Linked DNA regions of Arabidopsis thaliana. The protein of the gene in region 3 interacts with the protein of the main gene of each other region in a pairwise test. Each region holds a gene or a part of one and is shown on either strand. Other genes may lie near its edges.

Region 1 (3,862 bases), 8.8 Mb from region 3:
TTACACATCCTCTTAGCTTGGAGACAGCAGAAAGAATCGTTGTCATTCGAGTTTGTAAAGATCTTTTTGGTCTTGGTTGACTATGAAAGATCTCAGATTTTGCAATTGTGGCTGGACCAACACGTTTATGGAGTAAGAAAGTGTTACATGATATTATAACTACTTGTATCATAATGCATAATATGACATAGAGGATGAACGTGATTTTGATGCAAGTATTGAAGAAAGAGCCGAGGTCCCAACTCTAGAAGATGAAACGGCGGGAGACGATCGATGATGGTCGATTTCAAGAATTTTTAGCTCGACACAGGAAAATCAAAGACCGTGAAGCTCATATTAAACTTCGAAATGCATTAATTGAACACTTGTGGTCCGTATATACTAATTCTGAGAATTAGTACAATGTAATTTTTTTTTGTTATTTTCAATTTATCGATTGTAATCTTATATTAATTAAGTTAAAATAATTTAGTTATGAAATATGTTATGTATATCAAACTATTAAAAAAATAAAGAAAATCTTAAGTTTAATAATATTATAATAAAAAGTAATATTTTTAGTGTGAAATTGGTGTTATGGTTGGAGATGATAAAACAATTGAAACACCAAAATATCAAATTTGGTGTTAAAATTTGGTGTATTGTGGTTGGGGATGCTCTTATGTTTTGGTTAGATATACGAAAATATCACGCAGATCAAATAAAGTCATAAGCTGATAAAAGACATACAAAGATATACTAAACCGAAGCAATACTTAAATCAAGGATCCAATTTCAACATAAACACAAATTGTCACCATAGAGGCATGCATCAGACATCATCCATCTTTAAATTCATGGATAAAGCTTCAGAGCTTGTCAAATACTCAATGATTTGATCGAGATCATCAAAATCTTCATTGCACTCATCCAAGTTTCCAAGTAAACCGTTGTTGTTGCTATTGTCAGAAACCGCTAGGGTTTGCTCTTCCGTGTTCCCTTCAGAATTCACAGTTACATCATCCATCTCCAAATTCACCGATAAAAATTCAGAGTTTGTCACCGTATCGAAGATTTGATCGAGATCATCAAAATCTTCATTGCACTCATCCAAGTTTCCAAGTAAACCGTTGTTGTTACTATTGTCAGAAACCGCTAGGGTTTGCTCTTCCGTGTTAAACCCATCGAAATTCACAGTTACATAATCTTGAATGCAAACCCTTGCAGAACACGGCTGATGAATTAGGGTTTGCGTTTGATGATCTCTTTGCTTCTCCAACTCCTTGAGATCTCGCAACATAGTCGACATTGAATCCATCGCCTCTCTCAACTCCTCCAGATTCTCTGATTTTAGAAGACTCTCATCTTCCCACCAAAACCTTTCATCACAAGGACGCTGATTGGCGAGAAAAGCAGCGACGACATTATCAACAGAGGAGTGGCCAAAACTGTAGAAAGCGGCGTTGGAATTAGAAGAAACAGGAGTCGCTATGATCGCAATCTCTGCGTCCGAGAGAAGACAAAGTTCAGAAGCTTTGCTATACAGACCCTTACGACGTTTGGAGAATGAAACCGCTCGTGGATTTTTGTTCTGTATCTTCTCTATAGCAATCTTCCTCTTCACGCCACCCATTCTGTTTTTTTTCTCAGTTTCACAAACAAAAGAGAACGAGACAAGACTTGAGAGTTTTGTGTGCTGCCGCTTGTTGCGAAAGAAGAATATGATAATGGACTCACTCTCGTTCTAATCAGATAGATATATATATAGACTTAGTAGCCCTAACTCGTTTTCTAATTAATCCATGTTATTTCCTTTTTCTGATAATTGCTAATCAGTAATTAAACGACTAAATAAACTTGTTTTCCTTTTTTGAAAGTAATTAGTACACAAAACCACCTGAAACAACATCGATTTTGATTTCCTTTTTTACTGATAATACCCTAATCGGTAATTAAACGAAAAATTAAAACTGTTTCCTTTTCTAAAAGTAAATTACTCAAAACCATCTAATACAAACAAAGACCGGTTTAGTTAAACCGAATCTGTATTTAGTGGAATTTTTGGTTTAGTCGGTGAATTTGTTTACTACTGATTGTCTAATAAGCGAAGGAGGACGAGTAAACCAACATGCAAATTCTTCCTTTAACCGGTTTGGTCAACGGTCAATAAAATAAGACCGTTATGAAGGGTAAAAGCGTCAATACAACAAAATATTTAGGAGCCTCTCTTCTTCTCTTTGTGACCGTTACGAATCCAAAAACCAAAATTGCAAACTTTGTGAGGAAGAAGAAGACGACACAGTATTGAAGAATACAATCTCAAACCCTAGTATGGAATCTCTGTTTTATGCTGGTGAATCAATGTCCGATACACAACAAAAACTCAAGCTTTTGGTTGATAATGGTGAATTGGTGATTACGGATTCGGAAGAGGATCTAGATATGGAGATTACGAGAATCTGTTGGAATTGAGTATCCTAAACTAAATCCTACAAGAATAACAAGCTTGGTGAGAAGAAGAAGATGAAGAACAAAGGAAGAAGCAACGGAAGAAGAAGACGATGGCGGAGAAGAGACGTCGTGAAGAGAGGAGTCAAAGGAAGAGAAGAAAGTCAACAAACCAAATGGGTTTGTGTTTTGTGTGTTGGGTCATAGGTAATGAGATAAGGCCCATACGAATAAGTGTTTTGTACAAGTTGTCTAGTTAAGGTCCAACAAGAAGAGGTTGTGACAACTAAAGTAAACTAAGAGAGTGAATTAAGGTGTTGGAGTTCCAACATAGTAGAGTGGATGATGTAAGTCTTAGGACAATGATGTGGTCTAGAGTCTAAGTGTGTGTAGTCTACCAAGTGGAGCAAAACCACTATATGTATGTGTTGTTTGTGTTGTGTAAGAGTATCCAAGAATATTATCAAAGTAGAAGATTAAAAGAAAATAGTTTTTGTTCTTTCTCTCTAAAGACAATGAAACCGTAAAGGAGTGTGAGAAATAGAGAGATTGTGAGAATTACAACAGAATCAAAGATTCGTATGGAAGATTCTGAAAGAAGAACAAGTGAGATTTGGAAGAAGAAATCAGGGTTTTGCTGGAGAAGAATCTTGTATCAATTAGAAACATATAAGTACTGATTCTTCTGTGATCAAAACATGGCTACAGGTTTGTTGAAGACTTCTTCTGTGACATCCTCAGCATTGAAGACTTGTTTAAGAAACTTGATTTTTGAGAAGTTAAAAGGTAGAGACTTCTTGAAGAAACAAGCTCACAGCCATAAATATTCTGGCAAAATCCACATTGTTCATCTTTGTTATTAAGCATTATGTTTTCTTCTCTGTGGCCTTTGTGGATCCTTCTAAGAGACTACATTATTGAGATTTCCAGAGCTACTTTTGTTTTGTAGGTTTAATATTCTGATGTATACATATATGACATTGTGTTGTAATTCTCACATATCTAACCACTTTAGTTAGATCTCTTGCTCTCTTGTCTCTCACACAGATTTTATTCTTTGTTCTAGAGAGACACAAAAGCGTTTTCCTCCAAAGACTACATTGTTAATTACTTGGTTACTCTTACACAACACAAGGACACACATACATAAACTACTTCTACTTGAGACACACACACACTTGCACACTTGCACTTAGACCTAATGATGGCTCTTACACAAGACCTACTTCTACATACATTGGAACTCTCACTCCTTGATTCACTCTTCTACTCTAACTTAGACTTACAACACAACACTCTTTAACTAAACATACTTGGGCCTAATTCATCTTCAGCCCATTACAACCATATTACAAAACACAAAGCCCATATGTTTGTTGACTTTCTTCTCTTCCTTTGACTCTTCTCTTCACGACATCATCTTCTTCTTCCTCTG
Region 2 (4,733 bases), on a different chromosome or scaffold from region 3:
TAGAATCTGTTTCTTGTTGGTATGTATCGAGAGAGAAGCGGCCTGGATATGATCACAACAAGAAATATTTCTCAACTTAACGAAATTGGAATTACTGTTTTAGCTTAGCCTGATCATTTGCAGACATATATACAAAAGTTGCCCCAGTATCTCATATTAGCTGAGAAGAAGAAGCCAATCAAATACATAAAAAAAAAAAGCACACTAAAGATTGCAAAAGCTAAATAAGTTTCTGTTATAAAATCAACAAAAGAAATCAGAGGAAAAACTGAAAGAGCTCTTCATGATTTTGTAGACGCGTCTGAATTCACGGTTCGCACGAACTGGCCTTTCACTCGAGGACGTTGTTCTGCTAGCTTCTTCCTGCTCTGGTACCGAACCTGTAATCCATTTTTATACATCTCCATTGAATCAGTTTGATCTTGTATTTGTTTCAGATGCTGTTTTTATGATGAAGCTTGTGTGTCTCTTACCTTTTTGTCAAAGCATCGATCTTTCCTCTTCAACCGGAACTTCATCAATGCAGCTTCTCTCTGGCTTCTACTCCAACGTTGTTTCGCACTTTCTTCTTCCTTTGGTTTCTCTGTGCTACTGCTTTGTCCAGCAATCCCCTCATTGGTGCTTTGAGAACCAGCTTCTACTTCCTTGCTAGCTGCTTTCTCGCGATTTGATTCTACCGGTATGGGTGAATCTTGCTTCTGATTCGTTACTGTGGACTGAAGAACTTGGTTACGGAAGCTTACGCTTGATGATCCGATATTCTCCTGGTTGCTGCTCGTTGTGGAGCTTCCTTGATCAGATCTTACTTTTCTCAACTTTTCATGTGATTCGGTTGGTGTCTTTGGCTCACCTGAAGTACTCTCCTCTAAAGCAACGACGGCTTTTTCTGCTGACTTGCTTTCCTCAAATCTGCAAGTTAAATACATAAGAATTTGCGAATTGACTGACTCTGTTTTGATACTCTGCTTTTGTTGAGAAAAAAACAAAGTTTCTCCTTAAATCTTCCGAGTCAAGAAGATGTTAACTTGGGTTTCATGGTTCTTTTCGTGTTCCTAATATCAGTTTCTTCTCACCAACTTAGTTCTCTTCTTGATCTTTTACATATTAATGCATAACACTTTATATATATGATTTCTCCTGCTTTTGATTTTTATTCATCCAAATTTAGTCTTAAACTTACTACTTAGCTACAAAGCATGACGAGTACTTACTACTTAAAAACAGAATTACAAACACGAACTGAGAATATACGTCTTTCTAAACACATCATTTATACAGACAAAACCATACAATTTCAGCTCAAAATCCTGCAAAATTCTCGCTGAGAAACGAGTCATTTGCTGGACCGAATATCTCTATATCCGTGGCTCGGTTCATGCGATGTAGACCGGTAAATTTCGATTTGAATATGTATATATCCAATCTTTAGTCTCAATCTGTTTCATCTTCTTGTTTAGAGTTTATTGTTTTCATGACCAAAAATCCCGCCAAGGGTAATTGTTGCTGGATTGGTCCAAGAGAGTAGTAGTATCTGATTTGAAACCTCTCCAATCATCAGATGATGTCAAACAACTATCAGCTGGTTCAACAATGTTCATTAAGTGATCTGGTTCTTCCTCAAACCCACCAAAATACTCTCTCTTGATGTTGTTACTATAACCATTATCATCATCTTCATAATCATGATGATCACACATAACCCCATGATGACCCTTATCATCTTTCATCTCCATCTCCGGTCTAACCTCTTCCGGTTTACGCCTCCGGTTCTCTTCGTTTTCTGATTCATGATGTGTGCTGCTTAGAGCAACCACCGCTTGATCTCCACTACACTGCCTTTCCTCCTCCTGTGTCTTCTTTTGCGTCGCCTCTTTTAGCCTCTGCAACTACATAAAGGTATAAAACAACTCATCAACAATCTATTCTCTCCTTCAATAAACCATCAAAACAGAGTTTTTCTTGATCACCTAATCAGTCCTTAATTGCAATATAACCACTAAAGCACATATTTTATCACATATTTAAAACCACAGTTTTTCAGTATACAACCACAAAATACACAGATTTTAACTAACCATGTAAGAATAAACAGAGTTTAGAACATACCTCAGAGACTAAAGCTTGTTTTTCTTTCTTTAAGGACTCGAACTGAGAAGCCAAGTTGTCGTAGTTTTGTCTGAGAATGTTGTACTCAGTCTCGAGCTGCTTGGATTTCCAACGAGCCCTCTTGTTCTGAAACCATATAGCCACTTGCCTCGGCTGCAACCCTAGCTCTCTAGCTAATTGAACCTTCTTCCTTGGCTCAAGCCTTGTCTCAGACTCAAACATCATCTCCAGTGACTTGATCTGCTCGTCGCTAAACCTTCTCTGATTGTTCTTGTTGTGGTTGCTCTTCTTCATCTTCTTCATGGTCAAGAATGGCTCTGCTGACATCATCGCCGGAGAATATTCTCCACCTTCTGTCATCTCATCGGAATTTTTCCTCAGAGGATTTATGTTTTCTTTATTTTTATTTTTTGGAATCTCTATGTTTGTGTGATGTTGGCTATCTATATATGTGTGTTGATGAGGCTGAGATTATTATGTTAACAGTTATATAAAAATGTGATTTGTTGTTCTTTTTTGGGAGGGCTCCTTAGCATATAATAAGATATAACTTTGGGTTTGCTTTATCGTAAATTTTTTATTCATTTTTGAGTAAACGATTTGTGGGTCGACAGGTAGCAATAGGGCGGATTTTGGCTGTTTCTAGAGTCGTCGCTATCACTTGTTAAGTCGAGTTTCATTTCAACTCGAAACTAATCATCTAACTACTGATTAATAATTTCCACCTTTTTTATTTCTTTTACTTGTGACAAAATTAGTTTCGACTTAACAAGTGTTAGAAAATTAAATGATACAAAAAAATCTGCATACTACACAATTTACCGCATAGTAAACATTCTGGTCGATGTGAAAATGGAAATGGAACAACGGTTGCGTACCAATGTATTTAGTGATGTGGGTGCATATTAACAAATCCTGTTAAGTGGATCTTAAATAAAAATGAAGGGAATTATAATGGTTCATATAATGATTAGCATTTCTGAACTGATTACTAAACAATTATAATGGTTCATATAGGGAATTTCAGAAAATGAATAATCCTCATCTCCTATGCATATATCATCATGTGATTAATTATATTCTTTTCAGTACATCTCTGGTGAATTTTTAAATTTTTATGATTGTGTGCGACAGATTTAACGTTCAGAAGTCAGGATGTGTGACGGGTGTTTTTGTATACGTATGACACAAATCATAATTTTCTTAGAATGTGACTTTAATATTATTATACTTGCATTGTAAAACATATATTGATTACATCACAAATCTCAAAAACAAAACATTGTGACTTAAGTATGATGGGATACAATTTTTTCCAGCTATTTGCTTACGCAATTTTTTCTAATCGGAGATTTGATTTAGAATCAAAGCCTAAACTAATTTTTATAGATAAGTGTAATACAAGTTTACCTTCACCACACGTAAAACTTCCGTGCATGCGATTTGATAACTTTTTGCCAACTCTGTTGTGATCATTTGTTGACCCCTTCCTTACAAAAAGATATTTACTTCAGATTGAAAAATTGACAATACTATTATACTCGTAAACTATTTGTTTCTAATATCATATTTGAACTTATATGATAAATCACAGATATAATGATTCTTGAGAAAATTTTCTAAATTTTTCTTTTTTTCTGTTTTTATGTTAACAACACCATATTTATATATATTTTTAGAAAAAAAAACTAAATAGAAATGGCATATAATAGTTTTTTTCTAGAGTCTATATAACGTTATTTTTAAGAAAGTCTTCATACAACTGATTTCGCAAAATTTCTCTAGTTTAGTTTTACAAATTATGGTACTTCAAACCTCTATAAATGTTATGGTATTTTAAGAATGAATGCCTCGTGATTATTTAACAAACATTACTCCAAAGACAAAAGGCTAATTTTTCGTAACATTTCATCATTTGAATGGAAGCAAGTTAAATTTTTGCCAACAGGGAAACCATATTTGAGGCAGATTCCCTAGACTTTATTTTCTTCACGATAGCGATAACAATTTAACAATATTAGTATTAATGTGAAAAGCAACTTTAATTCTTGCTTTCCTGATTAGTTTAAGGTTTACGTTCACCTTGCTTGTCGGAAATTTCTTTTGACTAATTAATACAAGCAAAAATATTAAATTGGGCCATCTAGATAAGATATTTTCAAACCCTAATATTCTTTTTTTAATAATTAAATCTGATATTTGTAAAAAAAAACATAATTCGAAATTATATCTATCAAGTATCAACTAAAATTAAACCAAAAAGAAGTACCAACTAAAATTTAACGTAAGAGATCAATTTCTAAAGTCTTATTGAACTTATCAGAAAGTGGCAATCAAAAAGTATCAAAATCAGCCATCGAAAACTAGCCAAGTGTTATAATCAGAGATGAGAGTTCAATGCTTTGGGACATCAAAGTTGATAGAAGAGATGACATGGCAGTTGATCTGTGGTGGTGCCTGAATATTTTGGCCCAGCAAAGTACACACGTGTCGTGGTTAACTAGTATATCGCAATTTCTGAGAAGAGCCGTAGGAGAAGACAAATTCTTCATTTCTTTTTTTAAAAAGTATAATTTTAATTTATTACTAAATAAACGATGGCTTGGCTTGTTTGTATTTGCAAGCTC
Region 3 (7,030 bases):
ATCCAAAGAAGGAAACTTCTTCAAGAACCAAAAAATATAAAGTTGTAGTAACTGAAACATGAAGACCAAACAATATAATTACCAAAATGTTTAATACAGAAATTGTTTTCTAAAAAAATTAGCAGGAATACAACGAAGAGAAGATAATGTGAGAGTTACGCTTACCACAACGTGCCTTTTCTTGAGTTTAGCAACATTTTACTGAATGTAGATGAAGAGAAGATAATGTGAGAGTTACGCTTACCACAACGTGCCTTTCTGGTGGTGATATATCTTAAGAACCTTAGTGGGCATTTTCACTGGTCCCTTTACTGTAAGTCTCGTGTCCTTAGCTCCATGAAACAAGTCAATACACACTAATTATTCGATCACTAATCAAACAAATGTATCAGAGAGACTACCAGGGTGTTACATTACAGATCCTCATCCATTCGGAGGCACTGTTATTATTGCCTATCTTATCTAATTAGAAGCAAATTCTGGGCCTTTATAGGCCAACATCCTTCCTTGATTCTAATTGGGTTCTATTCCGATTAATACGGCCCAACCACTCAAGTTCGCTTGTTGTAAACTTGAAATAATAAGAAATTTTGCCACTCCTAACTTAATGCAACAAAAAAAAAAAAAGGTCCGATCTATTAAGTTCACGTTCATTCTCTCTGACCTTCAAATATATTACAATTTTGCTCCATATTGAAGCAAATAAACTTATCAAATTACAAAAGAAGAAAGGAGCCTGCTAATTTATATATGATGATATAAGAACATCGAACATTTGCCAAAATATATTAATTGGATGAAAAGAGCCTAGCCACTATTTATATGTATGTGGCAAACTGTTTTTATTGTTGACGATTACAAATATATATATGGAAATGCTTCATGCGGCGAAGCAGCCAAGGTTGCAGTTGTAAACGGGTTCAAGAGTCAGTTCGAGATCATTCCTCCTCATTGCCATAGGATCATCTTCTTGATACAGACCACTGCATTCACAATCATACATAGGATATATATGAAAGTGCATATGTAATCATATGTTTCACCGTACAACAAAGGAAAATCAAATATCAGTCCATTGTGAAATGTCAAAGATATATTAATTTCATTTATCTAACAAACTAAAATTGTACTTAAACACATAGACCAACAACAACAAAAAGTCGACTTAGGCTTTTCGCAACCATTCCATGTACATTTTCCACACTAATAAGTTTGTTCGTTTGGCGACCATTGCATTAACCTACGTTAATAAAATAATGTTTTAAAATAAAGTTTTCTAGTTTCAAAATCATGACATCATGTAACCATCACTAACAGCTATAACTTCAATGAAATTACAACACCTAACGTAACTAGCTTGCATAACATATGTGCTTTAAATTAAGACTGATTAGTAATTTTTTGTTACCCCATGTTGAGAAAAGGAGATGGCTGATGAGAGAGCATGTAAGGATGCTGGATTTGGTGCTGCTGCGGTGGCAGAGGGGGAGGCATATTGTGGCCTTGGTTCTGCTGATCCCACTGCTCCTGTTGAGCCCTAAGAATTTTTTCCCTCTCCTTGATCTGCCAGCAAATTTATTTCAAACCATATTATCATCATCAATTTTCAAAGTGAAGAAACTATATATATGCAATGGTTACAAATAGTTATTTTCACAGTTGCACTCATGCAATGAACTATTATAACATTTTTATAATTAGGAGTAGTGTCTATATTCATATACATAGATATGAGCTAAGTAGAATGATGGGACAACATTTCAAAGTTTCAAATATTTTCAATCCGAGAGACAACCTTAAAACTAAACGGACAAACCATATCTACGTACAGGCTGGTGATTATATCAATCAATAGACAACATCTATGCTATTTCAAACAATTTGCAAAGATTTTCTATTTTTATTTAATGGTGCCGAAGTTAAGTGGAGATATGAAGATATCGTAGGTATAGCTTGGCTGGAAGTGTGGAGCAGAACAGTGGAAGGTAACAGTAATGCAATGGACAACATGTTGATGAAAGAGAAATGATGACATGTGTTACCTGTTTAGAAAGCATGCTGTTTTGCTCCTGTATGGCCTTCTCCTGTCATTTCCGAAACGGCACGATTGTTAATTAGCTTTCCTATACGTTTCTCTATAAGACATACATTTGATAGGGGTTTTACATACCTTTTTTTGGAGCTCATTGATGGACTCGTACATAAGTTGGTTCTGCATACACACACATCAACATTAACAACCCATTACTTTAAGTAATATGAGTCTTAAAATACACAACATAACTCATACATTCGAACCAACCTATAGACATATCAAATTGATATTGATTACTGATATATATATTGATACATACACATATGTATTTCAATGTTCACATTATAATAACACTTGTAAACGTTTAAGTTATATAGATATGTTCAACGAAATAGCAGAAGGCAATACTTTTCTAGTGCGGATGTGCTTAAGAGCAGTGTCAAGCTGCTGCTCCAGATTCTGAAGCTCTTTAGGGCTCATTGCTTGCAAGTCTTCCCCAAGATAATGCCTGAATTTCAATAGCATCAATGAATTTTAACTTACTTTAAAATGGAACCCGATCGATTTCCTAGATAGAAATGTGATGAGTGTAAATGTGTACCTCTGGTTTCTCTCCAAAAGCTCAATCTTAGCCTTAAGCCTGTTATACTCCATCGACCAGTTTGTCTGTGTACCAGAAGTTTTATACAAATAAAATTCATCAATACTACAAATAGATTGATATAATATATATGTGGATTAAAAGGAGAAATATTTATTGAAATACATTGACGTCGGACTCAGGTGCAATAAGCTGTCTTTCGGCGTAAGAGTACCTCTCATAGCGTTCAAGTATCTTCTCCATACTGATCATTTCACAGAATTAGGGTTAGCTTTATCATCAACCAATTATCATTTTATTATATAAATAATATGGAGATGTAACCAAAATATCATCACATTTTAGGATAAATCTAATGATGGTTTTATGCAATTAAACCAAGATTTCCTATAACAAATCAAGTACCGATCTCTATGATACCTTTATAATAACAAAACAGTATGAATCATAGACCCTATGCTCTTAGCTTCGAGTTCTAACTGCGGTTTCTTTAATTTTGCTACAATTAGGTACAGAAAATCTTCTTAGATGCGACACATTATAATAAATTATTATAATCTTGCCAATTTACCAATCTTATTTTTTTTCAGAACAAGGACAATGCTTAAAAAAAAAAAGAAAAAAAAAAAAAGAAGAACAGCTGTTGCTTGTTGGAGCTAAGTTTGACCATCGGTAAGAAGCCGATTTTAGGATGGAGTTAATTCTTTTTATGGATCCCCAGAGGTCAAAGACTCCCTACTCAGATTTGACATCTTTGTTTCAGTTTTAATTTCTAAAGTCAAATAGAAAAAGAAGCAACACTAGTTCAAATTTAATACTATATAGTGTTTTATATTACGAGTTCATAATCTTAAGATCCGAGTTTAAACATTTTCTTTGCTTAGATTTGCAAAACATGAAGACACAGTCGTGAGAACAAATTAGATATTCTTTTACAGCTGAAAAAAAACAACTCGTAAGTTAAATATTCTTTCTAATAAAAAATTCTCAATTTGACATTATTATCTATATCTATTTTAATTTATTTTCTCGTCCCATAATATTTTTTAATTATAATCCAGTTGCAACTTATATATGAAAAAAGAAACGACACTTCATTTAAAACTCGAACTCAGTGAGCGAGTGAAAACTACAGATCTTATTTTCTTACTATGGCATCAATTAGAGCTTAGATCTGCAAATTCGAAAGACATGGCTATTGGAGAACAAAAGAATTCATTATGAGTTAGGGATCAAAACCCTAGTTCAAAGATTAAACATACACCCTTCTATATGCTCTTGAGTTTGAAGATATGATGCTGATAAATATTGCACAATATATCAAGGTAATTACTATGGTATAATTAGTGTGTTCTAGGGTTCACTTCACTACGGCCCTAAAGTTTTGATTTTTAAATTATACAAATTTGTATTAAACATTTTTCTGGCTAATCAAAAAATCCAAAAATGGAAGCCCTAGAAAATATATAAACAAAAGCAGTAGTGAATAATTAGGGCAAATCAAGTAGTCAACTTAAGGGGGAAAAAACTATATAAAGTAGCAGATTAAAAGATTTTTTTAAAAGTAAAGAATTAGTTGAAGTTACCAAGAATCAGTGGAGTATTCGAAGAGTTTTCCCTTATGGGAGAAGACAACAAGAGCAACTTCAGCATCACAGAGAACAGAGATCTCATGAGCTTTCTTCAAAAGACCAGCTCTTCTTTTCGAGAATGTCACTTGTCTATTGATCTTGTTCTCTATCCTCTTCAATTGAACCCTACCCCTTCCCATTTTTGATCCTTTTTTAAGAAACTTCTTACTCTAAAAGAACCAAACAAAACAAAGACCCCCAATAAGAAACTACAAGAGAGATATAAAGAAGAGCTCAGACTTTGGTATGAACCAATTAGGAAAGTTTTTCTTTCTTTCCTTTATAAAAAGACTTGTGTTTGAGTCTCGGGATCTTTATTTATGGAGAGATTTGGGTAAGAGTGGTTTTAGGGAAAAGCTAAAGCTGGTTTCTCTTGTTTGCAAAAACCACAGTGGTTTCTTTAGGATTTGCGTGTCGACTTCTCATTGGTATATCTCGTACTAATGTCGGGTCCATGATTTTTTAATAAAACTGCGGACTTAAAAATATGAAAATAAACAATTTGATTATCGACGTCTCGTGAAGAGAAATGGGTAAGTAACATTGTACGGACCACTGGTCCTTCCCCAAGTGTCACCTTCGCTTTGCATTGACGGCGGAGATTTCCCTGTAGATCTACGAAACAAAATCTGAACCAACCAAAATATCTATTTTTAATTTCCTTTTATTAACATTTCTCTATTACCCTATTTTACACTATTCTTTTGGAATAAGGTGAGAACCCTTTGTTTTATCAAATTTGCTTATTATATTTAATGTTCTCAGCTGTAACAGTGAAGTACAAATAGACCTTTCTTTTGGCAATAGATGTTTTTGGTAGAGCTGAGAACCAATTGACAACTGTGTAATGTATTGCGTCGACGGATTTGTACGCAGGATTTAAGGAAAGAGAGGAAGATCGAGAAGAATAATTGTAAGTATTCAAAATTTCAAACCCAAAAATAGTATTTTGTCAAAGATTTGTTCAATGTTGTGTGTTCTTATTAAGTTGTAGATGATCAGGACAAAAATCAGTTGAATATGTGCTATGTTGTTAATCAAACATACATATATTTTTTTTCGTCAATCAAACATATTTAGTTTGTACGTTATATCCATATATATTGTTAAATAAAACAACCATATATATACAATTTGATGTCAATCATATAATGAAATAAACCACATAAAAACCTTTGCTCAATTTGCTTAATCACTTCTTTTACAATGAATTTCCGTTGTAATAGTTTTCTCTTTTGAGATCTTCAAGTGTGAAAAAACCCCTTATTTTCAGTCAATATCCAATAACAAAAAAAAAAAAAACAGATTCGGCATTTGCTTAAGGCATATATTGCATAAGCCTTAGAGAAAACAATATAATTAAGTGAAAGTTGGACCACGTTTCAAATTTCTTTGTTAGTCAAGTGTTCCTGTTTTAGTTGATTACTTTAAATATCTCAGGTTTGAGGACTAATTGATTTTTCTTGTTAAAAAATTTCTTTCTGTTTTTTCCATTTCTTCTCTTATTTGGTGTTTTCCACGTGTCTTCTTCCTTATTTGATTTACTTTGTAATTTATAAATATTTGGACATCTTTTAGCAACTATTGCTTACGGTATTATTGTTTCATCAAAACAACAATTATACTAATTTTAGAAAAATAAATTAGACCATGTAAAAAGAAAAAATTGTAATATAGTAAAATCTATTTAAGTTAAAGTTCATTTTTAGTTATATATTTCTTCTATGCCAAATGAACCTATGCTAAAAAGATGTCACTTGCATTTTAATCCAACTTTATGTATTTTCTTCATAGAAGTTATATTAAATCTGGTATGGTATGACATATATACTTGAAATGGTCGTGGTTATATAACCAAATTTAAACATGTACGTCCTGAGTTTTGAAACGATACATAAGTTAAAAGATAGTGTATAGAGAAATCAGTCTAAAGATAGTATACTATATATATGTATGATATGTATATGGAGATCATGAGCAAAAGTAGTAAGCAACAAAAGGAAAAGTAGAAACTTAACAAATTGAGCAAAACTAAAAGAATCTAAGCTCGTGGCCTTGAAGACAACATCCCAAGAATATCCATTATCTTCGCCTTTGTTACATCTCCACCCTTCTTTTCTTCCCATTAAATATCCCTTTTTACTCTCTTTCAGTTTATTATTCGATGTAGCATACATATTTTATATACAATATCTCGATCCACTAAGATACGGTTACATCTCCACCATTAGCTTCCAAATACTAAAATAATTAATTACTTCTAATTAGAAGGACGTAATCTCTATCTTCAGTAGTAAACCAAATGTTCGTCATCATACGAAGTGGATTTAGAACATATAGTCGTTTTTGAAGCAGATCCCAAGAATAGTCTTCGATCGGTCGAGGTGCCCAAGTAGAAAAAAAGAAGGCAGGAAGGTTTGTTTAATGAGTGATCTTTGTAGTCACGAGAGTTGTGACTTGTGAGGTTGCTTTGTATCACGGTGATGCAATTATTATTATTTTATGTTTTTAAATAAGTGAATTATAGGTAAGTTTTTTTAATTCGAATATTAACATATTGGTTTAATTAAAACTCAACATTCGAATGGCAAATAAATAAAAACTGAACATATGATCTACAAATTATCATAAATTAAGGAGAATAGTGAGTCTTTAGTGAATAATTAAATTTCCAAGCAGTTTTAAATAAATGAAATTAAAGAGAGAGGTTCTATAATTGATTTCTTCTAATTAATTAGAAGATCGGATTTTTTTTTTAATTTG
Region 4 (5,423 bases), on a different chromosome or scaffold from region 3:
ATTCTTGGAAGTGATTCGAGGAGCTTCAATGGCGGCACCGATCAAACTACTTCCGGTAATGTAAATTCCCCTAAACCATAAAGAGAGAGAGCAAAATAGTTTTCGTAAGCATGATGATTTCGCAAATCAATGGGGAGAAGAAGAAAAGGATTTATACCAGGCAGCACCAAGAACAGAGACGCCGATGGAGATGGCGATTCCGATGGCGGAGAAAGTGTACGGGGAGATTCTCACCAGAGCCGCGCCCCATGAACTCGCATGAATAGCCACACCGGACATTTTCTCTCTATCTCTTTGATATGAATGAATTTGATTTGTCTCTTTCTCTGTCTTTCGGAGGAGGAGATGATTAACAGAGCCTGTGCGATCTGAAATTGAGCAACTCCAAATCACGCGCTGATGAATGCGCGTGAATTCAATTACCATCGTATAGGCCTCGTAAGCGATACGAATAGCCCACTTTGATCGGACTATTGGGCCTTGTTCCTCATTTGAATATCCGGGACAATCTCGTTGTTCAGAGTTTCACGATAAAATAGTAACTGACGATGGCTCACTCAGCCTCATCACTAGACTGACTTTTCCAGCATCCGCAAACCGATAAGTGGCGATGTGGTCAAAGCCGACCCTCGAGTTTACTGCATATCTAACATACGTCATTCTGCAAGAACACAACATATTCGGTAAACGCAGGAATTGGAATAACTTTCTAGTTACAAAACAAATGAGACTGAAGCAGAATTATTATTATGCAAAAGTGACAAAAAAATATATCCTACCAAACAATAAATTATTGTATGCCGCCTCATGTTATAACTTACTCAAATTGCGAGAATTTAACAGAACAAAACCTCCAAACCCCAAACTATAAAATTGTAAGAAAAGACAAAACAAAAACAGAGAAATCAATCATTCGTCACCATCCTCATGTCCCCCAATTAGTTTCCCAAGCCATCCAAGTAGCTCTGTAAATCTTTTAAACCCTCCGCCGAGAAGCTTCTGTGAACTCTCAACCTCGGCGCTACCAAGTTCGGTGGTGGCTGTGGCTGAAGACACACAACCACTGCCGTCACATTATCAGCACTCTTCCTCTTCAAAGCTTCCTCAACCAGCTCCTTACTACACATGACCGGGTCATTGTGCTCCTGTAGTCTCCTTCTGGCAAAATCTACAGCATTCTGGCTCATGAACACATCCCAAACCCCGTCACACCCAATTATAAGGAACTCATCCTCTTCTGTTAGTTTTGTTGTCATGAGCTCAGGCTCTGCAATTAGAGGTCCACAATCAGAACCATCTTTCTTCTTCTTCATGCCTTCCATATGAAAGTCACCTAGCGCTCGAGCCACATTAAGTTGTCCATTTAGATAGCCATCGAATACATGTCCACCCGATGCTTCAATGCGTCTCCTTTCCTTACTGCTCATGGGTTTGTGGTCTCTTGACATTTCAATGGCTTTTCCCTGACGGGATAAGACTGCTCTGCAATCTCCAGCGTTTGCTACCACCAACGACCTGTTACCACAAAACTATATGTTAACACGGTACCAAACGGTTTCATACCAGAATACTAATAGAGTATGAAATGAGCAAGTATATACGTGACTCAAAGACCATATGAGACAATAACTACATTATAGCAGCAGCACATATGGGCAGAGAATACATCTACAGGCGAATTAGTTGTACATGATTGTGTTAAAGGTCAAGATTATGCACACTACGCAGTTGAGGATAAGCATCTATTCCCAAACACGTTTTTCTTTAACATAACCAAGATGTAAGAGTTTAGGTTAGACAAAACTAAAAGATAATAAGAGTTGAATCAACAAACCTTCCAAAAAGAATAGCTGCCAAAGCAGTAGTTCCTGAAGCAAGGCTCCCATCCAATGAACACGCCTCTAAGAAGGCAGTGTCTGTTTGAAGAAATGCTGAAGATAACACCTTATTGATTTCACTAGGAAACTCTTGATCTTCAACAATGTACCTCGGTATATGGTGACATGCAAACTCAGCGGCATGCTTCCCACCATGTCCATCAAATACCTAATAACAAACAAAATTCAATAAGAGATCCCCATATTTTCACTACATTCACAGTTGTTTGCTTATGCTACAAATCTACAAAAAATCAGGAAAACTGAAGAAAGAACATACCCCATAGAAGGCACTTGGACCAGCCTCAGAATTCAGAAGGCCAAAGCTATCCATGAAATTATCAACGCATAGATAAGCATCTTCCATGCTTGACCTGGAGCCAATATCAGACCAAGCTCCAGAACGCGTAGCAGGAACAAACTCAGACTTGTTCTTCTCTATAGTAAACTCATTCTCAACAGATATATCTGACACCATTGTCTTCACCTACCAAAATGAAAATCAATCAGAAAACCTCAAACATCTCATAATGACACATTAAAAACAGAAACTTTCTACCTTAATTATACACATTAGGAAACCAATAATGATCAAATCCAAAAGCAGAGCAATAATTACAAAACCTCAACTTAAATTGATCATTCAATACACAAAATAAACCTAACTGATCCACAAATCAAGTTGAAGAGAAACGAATCTTACGAGAGATGAGTGTCGAACCAGTGACCTCTTATTACACGGCGCCAACGATCGCTCGCCGTCGAAGGTTTGCCTGTAAACGGCAGCAGCGGCGGAGGAAGAAGAGAAGGAGAGTGGATTCGGCGGTTTACCGCCGTAACTCGAACTCCCATTCTCTGGATCAGAAATTCCTCTAGTTTCTTCCATATTGAAACATCATCGTATAAAAATTCAATAAGCAATTATGGAAACAGCTGACGAGTCAACTCACGAGTGAGCGAGTCGATTAAAAACGATTTAACGAAGAATGTAGCTTTAGATGAGAGATTCGTAAACAATGGATTCAGAATCGAAAACAAAATTGAAGAGATTGTTGAAAGGTTACACGAATTTCAGGGTTTAAGAGAAAATTAGGGTTTTGTGGAAGAAATTGGAACACGCAGAAAGAGAGAGATAATAAAACTGTTCGCCGGCGGAGGCGAGAAATATGAGTCCGACGGTTATTTAAAAGGCAAAAAGAAAAAGGAAAAAGGAAAAAGGAAGCTTAACATAAACACGAAACGTCGGCGTATTATTTACTTTTTCTCTTTGCTTTTTTTTTTCCTTTTTGTTTTTGAAGTGAGAGATTTTTTTTCTTATTAAAAAAGGGATATATTTACAGTTTATATGAGAAGTAAACATAGTATTTTGAAAAATAGCAAGAAAGGAAATCTGAAATTTTAGACTAATAGCAAAAAGATTTTGAGTTAAGTTGACAAAATTGAATTTTAGTAACTTGGGACCTTTTTTACATCTTTTTTATATAAAAAAAGTCGACACATGAGATATTACTTATAAAATTAAAAATACATTATTTTCATGAATATTTAATAGAGTTTATGAATTTCTCACATATGTTAATTATTAAGTGCTGAAAAATGTTTAATTGTTTTTCTGTATAAATGTTAAGTACTGAAAAATGCTTGGAATGTTTTTCTATATTTATATCTCTGCTATTTATATGTGTGATTTAGTGTTATTTAGGGCATTAAATATAAGATATTAAAATATTAAATTTTTCTATAATTTAAAAATAAGTAAATAAACATGTTGTAGACCGTAATTGCCAGATTATTTGTGCTGTTTCCTAAATACTTTTACATTCTTTGATGGTCACCAAATTAACTATAAGAAAAATTAGGACTCAGTCTCATTAATTTTTCGGAAGAGAAAAAGAATCAGTCTCATGGTAGTTGTTAGGAAATATTTGAATATTGTTTCGCCATTAGAAACTTTTTATGTGGATTTTTTTCCTGAAAACGATGGTTACTATTAATTAAACGGACCGACAAGAACCTTGTTGACGTGGTAACAAGTGATGACACATGCTAATTGGCCATCATTGTCAAATAATTTGTTCGCAAGGCGTGATACGTGTACGTTGTTATTCAGACGTAGCAAACAGATTCACGACTTTTGTTCAATTTGTCTTTGTATGGAGTATGGACCTAACATCTCCAACGGACCAATGCTATTGGGTCAAGTCCATCTTTTCTAGGTTAAGTTCATTCTTTGGGCTTTAGTTAAGTATAGAGAAAGAACATATTGGAAGAAAAATTTAGATGTGGTTTGTATTGCATGCGCATATGAAATGTAATAATTTGAGGATACATATATAGTAAGAAAAAATGAGTGACCCAAGTAAGAATGGGTTAGTAGTTATATATATGTTGGAGGTGAAAGGAATAAAATAAAATTTGTTCTAGGTGGATTCTTAAGAAAAAGAAGGAAACGAAAACAGAGGAATAACAATGGCAGGGAGAATAAGCTGCTGTCTAAATCTTCCTCCCCTAGATTCAAATTCTGCACAATCATTAGCTTCACTGCTCAAGACAACGTCAAAGATCTCTTGGTATCTCTTCTATTCATGAAAAGTTATTATTTACCTGATAATTTTTCATATCAATGATCTTTGTTCTTTTATTGTTTAGTAGGAGAACAGAAAATGAGACAGAGCCACGGAAAAACAAGTGTTCTTTTGTCTTGGGGGTGGCGGCAACTGTCGTAATCGGCGGGATTCAGATCAATGATGTTGCATCAGTGGAAGCTGCGGTTGTGAAATCGCCGGTAGAAGAGATGGCTGCGGGTGTGGTGCCGCCGCGGAGGTGGAGTGACAAGAGGACGTGTCCGCCTTGGCTTGAGAACTCGCTAGAGACCATCGTACCGGAGAATCTTCCTCGTCCGTCTGCTCATCGACGTTTGGAGTTAGCCGGATTAGCTAAGGGTGATGCACCGCCGGTCGGTGTGGTGATGACACGTGTCAACAGGGGTGGTTGTTTCTCCGTGTAAATTGGAAGTTCATTACGTGTAAGGGAGATTGTTAGGCAGGTGTAAAAAAAGTCAATTAGAAACAAATAATACACACAAAAACTATTGTAGATATATTAAATTTTAAGTATTTGTTTGTGTAGTTACTGATGACAAAACATTGAACCAAACTGGTCTTTAATTCATGCAAAATTTTCTTTGAGGATGCCATTTTTGATTTTTGGTTTAAATCGAACCGTATAAAAATAATTAACTCATTAAATTCATTGAGATCTTTATGTGCACGATTAGTTTTGGTCCGTCCTTTTTTTCTTTGTTTTGTAATCTTGTATCCTACCAAATTTTGGGAGTTTTCAGCTTTGTGTGTTAAAGTAGTACTCTATTGGATGTGAAATGAAAGAAAAGTAGTACATGCGTGTAGTACAAAAGAAAAACACTCCAAGTACTTCCTACTGAAATGAGTTGGCCTATTATCGATCCAAAGTGAAGCCCAACTCTATGTCACTCCAACGATTAGTTTGATTTCGGCCTCGTATTTCAAAGTTTAACTACAACTCTAC

The links.
Region 1: the proteins of AP1 (region 3) and AGL97 interact in a two-hybrid assay, tested with the Arabidopsis thaliana proteins (one large-scale study listed by BioGRID).
Region 2: the proteins of AP1 (region 3) and HB-7 interact in a two-hybrid assay, tested with the Arabidopsis thaliana proteins (one large-scale study listed by BioGRID).
Region 4: the proteins of AP1 (region 3) and DBP1 interact in a two-hybrid assay, tested with the Arabidopsis thaliana proteins (one large-scale study listed by BioGRID).

Annotation. Positions count from the first base shown.
Region 1 is NC_003070.9:17,231,324-17,235,185, forward strand, and holds AGL97 (AGAMOUS-like 97), read right to left. Parts: upstream 1,629-3,862; 5' UTR 1,613-1,628; coding exon 812-1,612; downstream 1-811. UniProt on the Arabidopsis thaliana protein: Putative transcription factor.
Region 2 is NC_003071.7:19,164,308-19,169,040, forward strand, and holds HB-7 (homeobox 7), read right to left. Parts: upstream 2,661-4,733; 5' UTR 2,467-2,660; coding exon 2,107-2,466; intron 1,887-2,106; coding exon 1,470-1,886; 3' UTR 967-1,469; downstream 1-966. Other genes in the region: AT2G46670 (CCT motif family protein), read right to left, coding at 282-380, 474-926. UniProt on the Arabidopsis thaliana protein: Probable transcription activator that may act as growth regulators in response to water deficit.
Region 3 is NC_003070.9:25,981,696-25,988,725, forward strand, and holds AP1 (K-box region and MADS-box transcription factor family protein), read right to left. Parts: upstream 4,655-7,030; 5' UTR 4,408-4,654; coding exon 4,223-4,407; intron 3,243-4,222; exon of another isoform or gene 3,057-3,242; intron 2,881-3,056; coding exon 2,802-2,880; intron 2,702-2,801; coding exon 2,637-2,701; intron 2,544-2,636; coding exon 2,444-2,543; intron 2,213-2,443; coding exon 2,171-2,212; intron 2,085-2,170; coding exon 2,043-2,084; intron 1,564-2,042; coding exon 1,409-1,563; intron 1,241-1,408; coding exon of another isoform or gene 1,204-1,240; exon of another isoform or gene 984-1,203; coding exon 881-983; 3' UTR 599-880; downstream 1-598. UniProt on the Arabidopsis thaliana protein: Transcription factor that promotes early floral meristem identity in synergy with LEAFY. Is required subsequently for the transition of an inflorescence meristem into a floral meristem. Is indispensable for normal development of sepals and petals in flowers.
Region 4 is NC_003071.7:10,902,216-10,907,638, forward strand, and holds DBP1 (DNA-binding protein phosphatase 1), read right to left. Parts: upstream 3,053-5,423; 5' UTR 2,764-3,052; coding exon 2,581-2,763; intron 2,365-2,580; coding exon 2,158-2,364; intron 2,047-2,157; coding exon 1,835-2,046; intron 1,516-1,834; coding exon 939-1,515; 3' UTR 780-938; exon of another isoform or gene 662-779; 3' UTR 501-661; downstream 1-500. Other genes in the region: AT2G25610 (ATPase, F0/V0 complex, subunit C protein), read right to left, coding at 1-70, 158-426; AT2G25625 (histone deacetylase-like protein), read left to right, coding at 4,347-4,447, 4,527-4,884.